Linked DNA regions of Mus musculus: all the other regions are reported to be linked to region 2. Evidence: microRNA targets listed by miRTarBase, many of them from high-throughput screens and not tested one by one. Region 2 holds a microRNA gene; each other region holds the end of a gene's coding sequence.
Evidence for each region. Region 2 holds the annotated microRNA mmu-miR-7b-5p (UGGAAGACUUGUGAUUUUGUUGUU, at 2,018-2,041, opposite strand). A microRNA usually pairs through its seed, bases 2 to 8, with sites in the 3' UTR of a target mRNA and lowers its output. Matches are read on the target gene's strand: a 7mer-m8 pairs with bases 2 to 8, a 7mer-A1 pairs with bases 2 to 7 and ends in A, and an 8mer does both.

Region 1 (3,085 bases), not on the chromosome of region 2:
AGTCCAGTGGTGGCAAACTGCCATGTATACCTAACCCGCCAGACCCTCCCATGGAGAAGGAGCTGGCTGCTGGGCAGGTGGAGAAGAGCGCCGTCAAGCCGAAACCCCAGCTGAGCCATTCCTCGAGGCTTTCCTCTGACCTGACCCGGGAGACGGACGAGGCTGCCTTTGAACCAGATTATAATGAGAGCGACAGTGAGAGTAATGTGTCTGTGAAGGAAGAAGAAGCTGTTGCCAGTATCTCCAAGGACTTGAAAGAGAAAACAACAGAGAAAGCGAAAGAGAGCTTGACTGTAGCAACGGCCAGCCAGCCAGGTGCAGACAGGAGCCAGAGCCAAAGTAGCCCCAGTGTTAGTCCAAGTAGAAGTCATAGCCCTTCCGGGAGCCAGACCCGAAGCCACAGCAGCAGTGCCAGCTCAGCCGGAAGCCAGGACAGCAAAAAGAAGAAGAAGAAGAAGGAGAAGAAAAAGCACAAGAAGCATAAAAAGCACAAGAAGCACAAGAAGCACGCAGGCGCCGACGGCGACGTGGAGAAGAGCCAGAAACACAAACACAAGAAGAAGAAGGCCAAGAAGAACAAAGACAAGGAGAAGGAGAAAGATGACCAAAAAGTGAGATCTGTCACTGTGTGAAGGACGGATGTGTTAATTGACTTAATTACTAAGTCATCTGTATTAAATTCTGTTATAATGTAAAGAGATTCCAGCCTTGTAAATAATGAATGGAAGACCCTGTGCTGCACTTAAAAGTATTTGCTGCTTGATTATTTCATTTTTACATCAGAGCTTTATAACGAACTTTTGTACAGAATTGTGAGTTGTGACCATGGAACATGAGAGGTTTTGCTAGGGCCTATTATTTTTAACCACCATTAATTAGTTGGGGTGGAGTTTACTGTACTGTGAAATTTTCACATTTGAATTTTTTTAATTGCCTGGCAAATGCTGATATCAGTTCAAAAATATCAGCAGAATGATTGCTGAACTCATTACAGCCCCGTTATGTCACTTTTTGATTACAATAAAAGTTTTCAGTAAACTTTTCACTTGTTGCAAATGTATATTATTTAAAGACAGTGTCTCATTTCTTCTCTTTCCAAGATCCTTCAAGCTGAATAGACAAAATTCTAAACATTGAAAATGTACTTCAGAGAGGCCTAGTGGAAGATCTTTGTTTCTAGTAATTAGAAGTTAGGTTTCTAAAAAGGAGGGCAGGATGCTTAACCATCTAGCCATGTGGTTTTCTTAGAATTCTGTTAGGTCAATATTAAATTCCTTGATGAAACAATCCACTTAAGTGTTGTGGTTGTGCCCATTCTCTGCCCCACTGACAAAAGTAAGTAATAGTGTGAGCCTGAGGGTAGAGGGTATTCCTTCACTCTGTCTGTCTGGAACTCAGTGAAGGCACTCGGAAAGGATTTGGGGACAGGTTAAGTGGTTTTACAGAATGTGGCATGAATTGGGCCTGTCACAGTCCATGGCTAAATTGCTAGCCTGCTGTCCTAAGGTTCTGTGCTTGGAGTCTCAGTGTGTGGTACTCCATACAATTGCTGGTTCTTGGCTTTGAGTCAAGACATGTGAATGTAGTGTTTAGGGCAACATTTACCATTTAAAATTGTAAGTGATAACACTTTTTTTTTCTATTTTAAAGTGTGTGTGTCCATGGAGGGAGAGGAAGGCATTGGAGCCCTCTGTAACCAGCTGCAGTCACTCACAGCTACGTAGTTGTGAACTGTCTCATGTGGACGTTGGGAACCAAATTCAGGTCCTATGCAAGAGCAACAAGCACTTGTCACCACTGAGCCAAAGTAACATAAGTGCTAGAGGTGTGGAAGTCATCGAGAGATGCTGCCTTGGAGCCAGATCAGCTTTGCTGTGAGAGCTCAGCTCTGCCCTGATGCCAAGCACACACACCTGCTGTCAGGGCTAAGCTGTCCTGACCACTTAGGCCCACGCACAACATACTCCCACTTTTACTTTGAGGTCCTGTTTCCAACAATTGAAACTGGTTACTCACATTATTGGGCTCATTCTTGAAGCTCACCTGGCCTTCTTCACTTTAGTTGCAGCTCCACTCCTATGACAGGTTCCTGGCTACTGAACCACCTCTAAGTGTTGTGCCTTTGCAATTAAGAGCAGTTTTCCCAGCTTTGGTGGTGGTTGAACTTAGTTTACTTTTTGGTTTTTTTGGTTTTGTTTGTTTTTGTAGTCTATAGATTTGTTATGGCAACGGCCACAGAACCTGTGCCTGCCCCCTTCCCCATCTAACCCCCAAACTACCTAGATGTCGGATACTGTTTAACAGAAGCATGCAAAGGCTCAAGACATGCTCAGTGAGTTAAGTGCCTCCACAAGCCTGAGGACTTGAGTTCAATCCCTAGAACCCAAGTAAGTCTAGATATGCTACATGTGTGCTGTAACTCCAGTGTTCTACAGTGAGGGGCCACAAATGAGACACACAGGGAAGGGGGGATGGCCAACCCCAGGGTTGCCCTTTAAGGACACAGGTGCTGTGGTACATGTGTAACCACTCCCATAAACATACATGATACAGATTTTTTTAATGTATGAATGTAGCATTTGGAGGACAACTTGAAATGCTAAATAAAAGTTTTTTGTTTTGTTTTAGTTAGTATTTGTATAACCATTAAAAACACCCACAGCCCTTCATGGTACATGTGGTTTGGGTTTTTTTGTTGTTGTTTTTCTCTCCCCAACCTCAGTTGTTAATGCTAATATCTGATTGGTCCCAACTTGCACCTTATGTAGAGGAATCAGACAACAGGAAGTCTCCACCCTGTTTACTGGTCCCCAAGAAGGCCATATTGCATCTGACCATTATAAATTTACCTTTCCTTTTTAAAAATAATGGTCATTTATGTTTGTGGAGTTATGCATATGAGTGTAGTGCCCATGTGCAGGCCAGAAGAAGGTGTCAGATCCCCTGGGACTGGACTTAACAGGTGGTTTTGTTATCTTGCCCCAAAGGAGTGTTGGGAACCAAATTCAGTATACAGTATACTCTAACTGTTGAGCCATTAAGCCATCTCTCCTGCCCTTTGGGAGTTTTGTTTTTTCCAGTCTTA
Region 2 (3,085 bases):
AAATAGTGTGGCCGTTGCAGGAGGCTGAGAATGTTAACAAAGTCTTGTCCTAATTGACCAGTGAGGTAACAGGAAGTTTCTCCCACCGAGCTGAAGCCTGGAGAAGGCAGAGTTGGTTATGGGAGGTTATGTGAGTGGACTGTGCAGACCCAAGAGAGGAAACTGCATGGACAAAGCAGCCCCTGGGCTGCTGTGTGACTGAGTTTGATGTCAGCTTTACACGGGTGGAGCTTAAGGGAAGCAGGAACCTCAATTGAGAAAAGGCCTTTATCAGGTATTTTCATGATTAATGATTTAAGGCCATTGTGGGTGGTGCCATCCTTGGACTGGTGGTCCCAGATTCTATAAGAAAGAAGACTGAGCAAGCCAGGGGAAGCAAGTAAGCAACCAGTAAGCAACACCCCTCTATGGCCTCTGCATCAGCTCCTGCCTCCCGGTTCCAGCCCTGACTTCCCTCAGTGATGGAGTGTGGCCATCATTGTAAGCTGAATAAACTCTTTCCTGCCCTTTTCTTGAGTCAAGGTCCTGTCACAGCACCAGGATGCACACTAGGACAGCTGGGGAGAATTGCACAGTGGGGGATGGTTAGTGACTGCATTAGAATGTCACAGATGATAGGTGTTGAATGTTAAGAATGCCATGACCCACCAGACAACAAGTCCACATTTTCTTGGTATCAGTCATGCAACTAGTGGTTGCTTTGTGTGGCGGGCACAGAGTTTTATTGAAAATTGGGCTGGGGCTCCATGGGTACCGTACCCAGTCAAAGCATTTGAAATTCTGAATCCAACACCGTGTATGCTAGGCATGGTTCTCAGGGACTGGAGGCAAGAGAACTCAGTGTTCAAAGCCATCCTGGGCTACATTCAGAGTTAGAGAAAAGCCTGGACTACAGGTGACACTGTCTCAAAGCAGGCAAAGTGAAAAGAGTGAGGAAAAGAAAACAAGAAAGAGAAAAGAATTTCAGGGTTTTCTAGAAGTACCTTTGATGCCAATCCCTCTTTTAAAAGTTTTATGGCCGGGCAGTGGTGGCGCATGCCTTTAATCCCAGCACTTGGGAGACAGAGGCAGGGAGATTTCTGAGTTCGAGGCCAGCCTGGTCTACAGAGCAACAGCCAGGTCTATACAGAGAAACCCTGTCTCAAAAAACCAAAAAAAAAAAAAGTTTTATGTATGCACATGCTTTTAATTCAAACACTCAGGAGGCAGAGGCAGGTGGATCTCTGAATTTGAGGGTAACCTGGTCTACAGAGTAAGTTCTAAGACAGCCAGGTTTATATACAGAAACCCTCTCTTTTTTTTTTTTTTTTAAATGTAATTCTTTTTTTTTTTTTTAAAGATTTATTTATTTATTATATGTAAGTACACTGTAGCTGTCTTCAGACACCAGAAGAGGGAGTCAGATCTCATTACAGATGGTTGTGAGCCACCATGTGGTTGCTGGGATTTGAACTCTGGACCTTCGGAAGAGCAGTCGGGTGCTCTTACCCACTGAGCCATCTCACCAGCCCCAGAAACCCTCTCTTAAAAAAAAAAAAAAGAAAAATTTTTATGTGTGTTTATTTATTTGTGTGTGGAAGCATGTGTGTCACAGGACATGTATGGTCAGAGGACAACTTGCAGGAGTTGGTTTTATCCTTCTACCCAGTTGATCCTGGGGCTCAAGCTTGGGTTCCCTAATTTCAAAGCACTCTTTCCCTCTGAGTTACTCCACTGGCTCACCATTCCCTATTTGAGTCTCCAGAGAAAGCACGGTGCTGTGACCCAGGGCCCTGAGGTTGTGTCTCTGATCCTATCATGTAGATGTGTTTGAGTGACAGGCCAATAGCATGGGAAACACTCCTGCACTCTCCCAGGGCCCGAGACCTTGCTAGACACCCTCTCCTGTCCGTGCTAGACTTCCCTTAACCCCCTCCTGTCCCAGTTTCCTGCCCCTACCTGTTTGTGTATTTCAGGAGAAAGGTGATAGGAGTCCACGCTATGAGGCTGGCTGTGACTTGTTGTCATATCATATCAGAACAACAAAATCACAAGTCTTCCACATAGCACTGGCTCACGTACTCCGCTCCTCGTCCTCATCCTCCTCCGCCAGGTTCAACACCCTCAAGTGCTTCTCTCTCTCTCTCCATAGAGGATTGAGCATAACAAACCCCACTCACTGACTTACCCTCCCTAGACATCCCTTTTCCATTCCATCCCCTGAGACACAGGCAAGATTCATTCTCTACCTGCCCCCCAACTCACACCCTGGCACATCACCAACGTGGGATTTATTGTTCCAGGCACGAGGAGCACACACTTGTCACCCCAGCACGCAGGGAGTAGAGGCAGGAGGATGAGAACTTCAAGATCATCTTTGGCTACACAAGGAGTTCAAAGCTTGGTCTACAGTGTTTTAAAATAATAATAATTATATATATAATTGAGAGAAAAACTCTTTTTAAAAATAAAAAGAACTTGAGATTTAAAGTTGGATTGAGGCTGGCTTTCCCCTCACCACTTCACTTTGGAAATTAGTACACCCAGAGGCACTCATAACATCTCGTTGACCAAATGCTTCGCCTGTACTCTGTGAGTTTGAAGCCAGCCTAGTCTACATAGTGAGTTTCAGAACAGCTAGAGGTACACACAAAAAAACCCTGTTTCAAAAAAGAAAAAAAAAATCCCTCCGTAAAGGACAAATGCCAAGAACCATTAAGAGGTTCCTTCCCTGTACACTCTCCGCCAGAACAGACCCCAAGGCGATCCCTGAAGCTGGGTGTTGAGAGCTTGGCACTGCCAGGGGCCGGGTGCTGAAGCCTAGTCTCTTCGTGACCCGCTGGGAGCTGTCCGAAATCCTGGTGCTGAAGCCGAACTCTGCTCCGAGTCCCTCAGCCGGATGGCGCTGTCCGCGTCTCCAGTGCTGAAACATAATTAGTTATTGGGGGAGGGGGTGGTCAGTGCGGCTCGAGGACACTCTCCCAGCTTCTGCCTTCTGCCAAAATGCCCCGCTCCTTGTTTCTGTTCTTCGTCCTAGGGACCCATCTTCTGTTTTAATCTCTTCCCATGGACCCGGGGTGTTCTAGGCGGGGACGAAGGCGCAAGG
Region 3 (3,085 bases), not on the chromosome of region 2:
TACATGTAGGTATGTGTTCATGTTTGTGTGTGCATACATGCATGCATGTGGATCAAAGGTCAAACCTCAGGAGCTATTCACCTTGGTTTTGTTCTGGTGTGTGTGTGTGTGTGTGTGTGTGTGAGAGAGAGAGAGAGAGAGAGAGAGAGAGAGAGAGAGAGAGAGAGAGAGGAGAGACCAAATGAAGATATGAAGATGTCAGGTACTGTGTTAGCTTTATATAAACTGGAATAGAGTCACAGGAGTGGAAGGAATTTCTGCTGAGAAGTCAGTCCCTAAGATCAGGTTTGTAGGCAAGCCTGTAGGGCATTTTCTTAGTGATTGATGGAGGGCGGCCCAGGCGATTGTGGGCAGTACCTCTGTAAACGGTTGTCCTTGGGTTGTATAAAAAAAAGCAGGCAGAGCAAGTCATGAGGGGCAAACCAGTAAGGAGCCCACCTCCATGACCTCTGCGTCAGCTCTGCCTCCAGGTCCCTGACGTGAATGTCTCTGATGGTGAAGCGTGATATGGAAGAGCAAGTGAAACTGAACCCTTTCTTCCCAAATTGCTTTTGGTTGTGGTGTTTTGTCCACAGATACCTTCCCCTGTCCCCTTCCGCTTTATTCATTTGAGAAAGGTTCTCTCAGTGAACTCAGAGCTTTCGGTTTCAGGGAGGCTAGGTGGTATTAGAAATACTGTCTCCCAAACCAAATAAAAAGTTATTTAAAAAAAAAATTGGGCTGGCAAGATAGCTCGGTGGATAGACACTGACGACCGTGACTTACAAGGTAGAAAGAGAAAACTGACTGCCCCTCTCCACACACACAGAAATCTGATAAATCCTGAGGTTCGGATTCTTCGCAATGTAGCAATGCAGCAATGCCTGAACTTGTTCCTTCACGTATGCTTTTTGTTTTGTTTTTCGAGACAGGGTTTCTCTGTGTAGCCCTGGCTGTCCTGGAACTCACTTTGTAGACCAGGCTGGCCTCGAACTCAAAGGTCCACCTGCCTCTCCGTCTGTGTGCTGGGATCAAAGGTGTGTGCTACCACTGCCCAGCCTTCATTTCCCCATCTCTGAGATGAAATTCTGAGATCTTGTCTCACTCTAAAACCTTTTTCCTCATGTTGGTGTAACCGTGTACTCCACAGCGTGGCTGCCCCCCAGGAGAAAAATGATTGTAGAAGGCCCAAAGGCGGAACACAGCAGCACGGAGGTGAGGTAAAGGCAGAGAAATGGCAGATTTATAATGTGGGCCACACAGCCATGAAGGCCATCGAGTCTCCAGATCTGCAGTCTGCCAGCCAACTGCACAGTCACTAGTTTCTGACTCCAGTTCAAAGTCAACAGGGTTAGGTCTCATTAGAGCAGAAGCGACTAACAAAGTCTGACATCTACTGTTCCTTCTTTGCTTTCTCTTCATCTCCTGCCTTCCTCTCTTTCTCAGGCAGGGTCTCTTGATGAACCTGGAGCCCACTGAACTACACTGGCTGGCCAGTGGGTCACTGGGATCCATCAGTCTCTGCTGCCCCAGTACTGGGGTTCCAGAAGTCGCCATGTCTGTTTTCTATGTGGAAGCAGGGATCCAAACTCACGTTCTTATGCTTTTTTGCAGGCACTGTACCCCCAAGCTATCAGCCTCGCCTTTTGTTTTTAACTCACATTAGAAAAGCAATCAGCTTTACTGGGTTGACCACTAAACGTTGTTAATCTCATCCAGAGATACCTTCAGACATAACCAGAGTACTTGACTAAGATACGGCCACTCTGTGGTTTAGTAAACTTGAGAAGTGACAGCAAACACTACCAATTATTAAGTGTCCATGTTGGGCATTTCCTGTGTAATATAGCATTCTGCAAGGCAGTTATTACCCGTATAATTAAACTAAGAAACCAGAGTTTTAAAGATTTAAGTAGGTTGTCTCAAGTCACTTAACTAGAAGCTAGCAACAGAGTTCATTTTTCATTTGCTTTTGTTCTTAAACAAGGTTTCATATACCCTGGGCAGGCCTTTTTTTGTTTTTTAAAGATTTATTATTATATGTGAGTACACTGTAGCTGTCTTCAGACACACCAGAAGAAGGCATCAGATCTCATTCCAGATGGTTGTGAGCCACCATGTGGTTGCTGGGAATTGAACTCAGGACCTCTGGAAGAGCAGTCAGTGTTCTTAACCGCTGAGCCCTCTCTCCAGCCCTGGGCAGGCCTTAAACATGCTTGGTAGTGATGCCTTGAACTGATCCTCCCGCCTTCATCTTCCAAGTACTGGGACTACAGCACTGTGTACACACTAGGCAAGTATTCTACCAACTGAGCCCCACCCCAAGCCGGAGTCCAGTTTCAAGTCTGGGGTAAAGCAAACTTTTTTCCAGCAATAATAAAAATCCAAATTGGAATGTCCTACAGAACTCGCGGACAGCTGAGGATGCCCTTCAACTTCTGACGTTCCTGCTTCTGCTGAGTGCTGGGACTACAGGTGTGCACCACTATCTGGATTATGAGGTGCTGGGGATCGAACTCAGAACTTCACCATGGCTAAGCAGGCACTCTACCTACTGAGCTAGGCCCGAAGTCCATAGATGCACCATTTAAAACAACCTTTTAGAATATATGCACACCATTTAGTTGTCTTACTCTTCAAAGGATACAAGCTCCTTTAAGCTGAACATTATAAATACAAATTTTATTTAAACTTCTTGTGTGATTCAAGTAGAAAAGTCCGCCCTTGACTGCTACACACAATGGAGAGCGAAAGACTTCCGCCTCCTGACAACCACTTCTCTTTCTCCCACGCTGTCATCTTCTTGCTTGTAAATCAAGCTTTTAATAAATTACAAGTGTGTAATAGGTCCTTGTCCGTTGTCTTTCTAGCTACTTAATGCACTGTTGCATAGCAACAACTTTGTTTTCTGCTGCATCTTTGTTGGAAGTCTGAGAGTCTGAAATCTGCACTGGCTTGGGTGAGCGTGGGAATTTTTCTGGTACCACGCATGCAAATATCCATTGTAGAAATCAGTAGCTGTTAGTGTTTTCTTAAGCATTACTGACCGAACACCGATCCAGCCATCCTAAAGGACAAAGAACAGATAGTGAGTAGACAATGGGGG
Region 4 (3,085 bases), not on the chromosome of region 2:
CCTCAGCCTCTTCAATAGTGGCGCGGTTGCGGCCAACAGCAGCTCTGCATCCCCCTCAGTGGCTACCGGAAGCTCCCAGAACCAGAATTTTTCCACAGCAGCAAACAGCCAGCCTCAGCAAAGACCGCAGGCCTCAGGAAATCAGCCTCCAAACATTGTGGGACAGGCAGGGTCTGCTCGGAACATGGGCCCTAGGCCTGGGGCTCCTTCCCAAGGGCTCTTTGGTCAGCCTTCCAGTCGCCTGGCACCCGCCAGCACCATGGCTAGCCAGAGGCCTGTATCTTCCACAGGTATTAACTTTGACAATCCAAGTGTACAAAAGGCTCTGGACACCCTGATTCAGAGTGGCCCTGCCCTTTCCCACCTGGTTAGCCAAACTGCAGCACAGGTGGGGCGGCCCCAGGCCCCCATGGGATCTTACCAGAGGCATTACTGAGGCTCTACTGGTCTACTGTTCCTAGCCCCACCCTTCCCTGGCCCCTCCTACTTCATCCTAAGTAGAGTTGTTTGGAAGTGTTCGAAACACTTTCCAGGTCAACATCAAATATCCTAAGTTTCTCTCACCACTCCTTCCTGCGGCTGTTGCTTATCACTTATCAGAATCAGAACTTAGACTGCATTCGGGGCTGGATCTTTTGTTTGGGTAGAAGATAAGTGTTCTGGGATCTGGGCTCAGCTTCTGTCTGGGATCGCTCTGGCACCTGCCTGGCAGATTTGGAGGAACAGGAAGAAGCCAAGCGCAGCTGCCCTATGGGAACACCATTTCTGGAGGCAGTGGTCATAGCCTTAGTTTTCACCTCCACAGCAGCCAGAGCTGCGTCCTGCCTGGCTCCCAGTGAAGCCAGGTGGTCTTGGCAGACAGTGTCATCATTGTTCCATCAGAGAATAGAACTCCAAGGACTCAAGAGTGATTTCTCTGGACTGTGAAGTGCCATGTGGCAGCCAGAGAAGAGAGGACTCTTGTGACTGCATCAGAGTGGTCCCTTGAAGTTGGTTTGGTTTCGTATTTTTTATTTTCCTGGAGGGTCTGCAGACAAGTGAGCAGCTCTCTTGGCACTTTGACATGAACTGTGACTCTGGGGCCCACTGCTCTCCACAGCGTTAGCTGCACCTTTCTCTCCGGCTGCACCTCATGCAGTCAGCACTGGGGGCAGCTCCAGGCTCTGGAGCTGGACACCTTGGTGGTCCGTGATTTCTTTTGAGCCCCAGGCTTTTGTTTTCATTCAGACTCTTGTTCTGTTTTCTGATGAGCAGGAGACGGGGACCACTTGATGGTAGACTGTGGTAGTTGGGTATGTTCTCATACAGAAGAGCATTCGTGTAACTTCTGAGACAGGGTGATGTTTAGAGAAGGGCTCTGGCTGCTGCCCTGAATGGAGCCAGAGGAAGAAGCGCCTTTTCCTTTGGGAAAGGCTGCTCATTAAATGAAGTGAGGATCAGGTCAGGGGAGGGTCAGGCCTGGCTGGGCGGCAAGAGTGCTAACTCCAGTCCAGTCCCTGCCAGAGGCTGAGCAAACCAGTTTCAAAAGCTAAGTCCCCAAATGGCAGCAGTTTATGTTCTGATCTGTTTGTGTTATACGGTGGGTCCCCCTCCCCCTTTGGAACTCTTGTGTTGTTGATAAAATGAAATAATTACTTTTTAATTAAAATGAAAAAGTCAGACCTGTGCTAATCTTTCTTGGGTGTGTCTGCAGCAGCACCTCTGCTGAGCACTTTCCCCAAGAGCAGAGTCTCTGTGCCCAGCCTAAACTCGCTGTGCTGCCCGCCAGTGAGAAGTGTTGATAGGAATGCCTACAGCAGACTCACGCTCTGTGCCTGCTGCTAGAGTCGGTGTATTGCAGGTGTCCAAGATAGGTTACGGGGAAGGAAGCCACTGTGAGGAAGAGCCTCTCTGGGCCATGGCTGTCATTCCTCTTTTGCCTTCATGCCTGTTGCTGCCCATTGTGCAGGAGTTTGGCATAATCTATAGTCAGAACATGGAGGCCTTGAAGAGCCTTTAATCTACTTGGCATGACTGTCCTGACCCTCCTCTCAAGAAGAGAGTTGCTGCCTCCCAGAGGGTACCATGTGACTTGACACCTAGGAAGCACCTCCTACCTCAGGCACAGGGCCCCAAAGCTGGTGTGCTCACTTCTGTAAGCAGAGGAGAGTTTCCCACCTAACATCTAACTGGCCAAGTTCCAGCCCAGCCCGGGCTTCATGAAACCCTGTCTCAAAAAGCCAAAGCTTCATAGGCCGACAGTGAAGTTGACTTCCTCCTGAAGCATCTAAACCGTACCCTTCAGGCTATCAAGGGTGTAATAAAATTATTTTTATTGCATTGTGTGCAGACAGGTATCTAAAAAATTAACACAGTAAAAGCCTTAAAGCATTAAGTGGGAGCATTCAACAGTAAAGGAGAGAACTGACCCTCTCCTTTGCGTATTGGCACAAAGAACACAAGATCAATACCGAGTCGGGATGCGAAATACCGAAACACTAAAATTAAAGGCAGGCCTAATAATAATAGTAATAACAATAAATACTCTTGATTTGGCTTGCAACCTCTCCTATTTACAAGGGTTTTGGACTGCATTGCATTGCCCTGCACATAGGTCTGCTGAAACAGAAGCGACACTCTTCTCACTACCAGGCTACTGAAATATTGCACTCAGAGTAGAAGTCACCTGGATGGACATGGAACATCTAGCTACAGTGATTATAGAGGTGACTTGAACGACACAAGGTTCATAACAAATATTGCACATGGAGCACAGAAAACTGGGGGTTTTGTTGTGGGCTGTTTTCATCAACGGAAACTTTGCTCTTGCCAACCAGAGTCTGGGCCCAGGTCATGCAACTTTGGTTCCCTAATTGGTGTCGATGCTGCCTCCTCCCCAGCTACCCAGCCCCTCTCTTTCCCCAAAAGGCAAAACCACTGCAAGGGAGGGCAGACTTGAAGGATGGTGGGCCCTAGGTCCTACACTTCCAACTTGATGGCTACTGCCTGGAAGAATGCCCAGTCCTCATCAAGCCTTGAGAGGGGCTTGAGCCAAGCAACAGGGCAGTGGCCCTCCAGCCCTGCCACTGGCCACACCTGAGCCGTT

Region 1: miRTarBase lists Rbbp6 as a target of mmu-miR-7b-5p. The part of its 3' UTR that is shown has no 7-base or 8-base seed match.
Region 3: miRTarBase lists Mtfmt as a target of mmu-miR-7b-5p. Seed matches in the 3' UTR shown: 7mer-A1 at 2,129-2,135.
Region 4: miRTarBase lists Ncoa5 as a target of mmu-miR-7b-5p. The part of its 3' UTR that is shown has no 7-base or 8-base seed match.

The regions. Positions count from the first base shown.
Region 1 is chr7:123,001,513-123,004,597 of GRCm38, forward strand. It overlaps Rbbp6 (retinoblastoma binding protein 6, ubiquitin ligase), which reads left to right. Exons shown (of 18, transcript NM_011247.2): 18 at 1-1,060. The coding sequence ends at 632. Among named protein-coding and RNA genes, the nearest start is that of Rbbp6, 32 kb to the left of the region's middle.
Region 2 is chr17:56,241,973-56,245,057 of GRCm38, reverse strand. It overlaps Mir7b (microRNA 7b), which reads right to left and starts at 2,070; the gene lies at 1,960-2,070. A230051N06Rik (RIKEN cDNA A230051N06 gene) reads right to left here. Exons shown (of 2, transcript NR_155493.1): 2 at 2,253-2,902.
Region 3 is chr9:65,451,966-65,455,050 of GRCm38, reverse strand. Mtfmt (mitochondrial methionyl-tRNA formyltransferase) reads right to left here. Exons shown (of 9, transcript NM_027134.3): 9 at 1,997-3,046. The coding sequence ends at 2,846. It also overlaps a transcript of Spg21 not described here. Among named protein-coding and RNA genes, the nearest start is that of Spg21, 7.4 kb to the left of the region's middle.
Region 4 is chr2:164,998,933-165,002,017 of GRCm38, reverse strand. It overlaps Ncoa5 (nuclear receptor coactivator 5), which reads left to right. Exons shown (of 8, transcript NM_144892.1): 8 at 1-1,661. The coding sequence ends at 436. Slc12a5 (solute carrier family 12, member 5) reads right to left here. Exons shown (of 26, transcript NM_020333.2): 26 at 2,287-3,085. Among named protein-coding and RNA genes, the nearest start is that of Slc12a5, 32 kb to the right of the region's middle.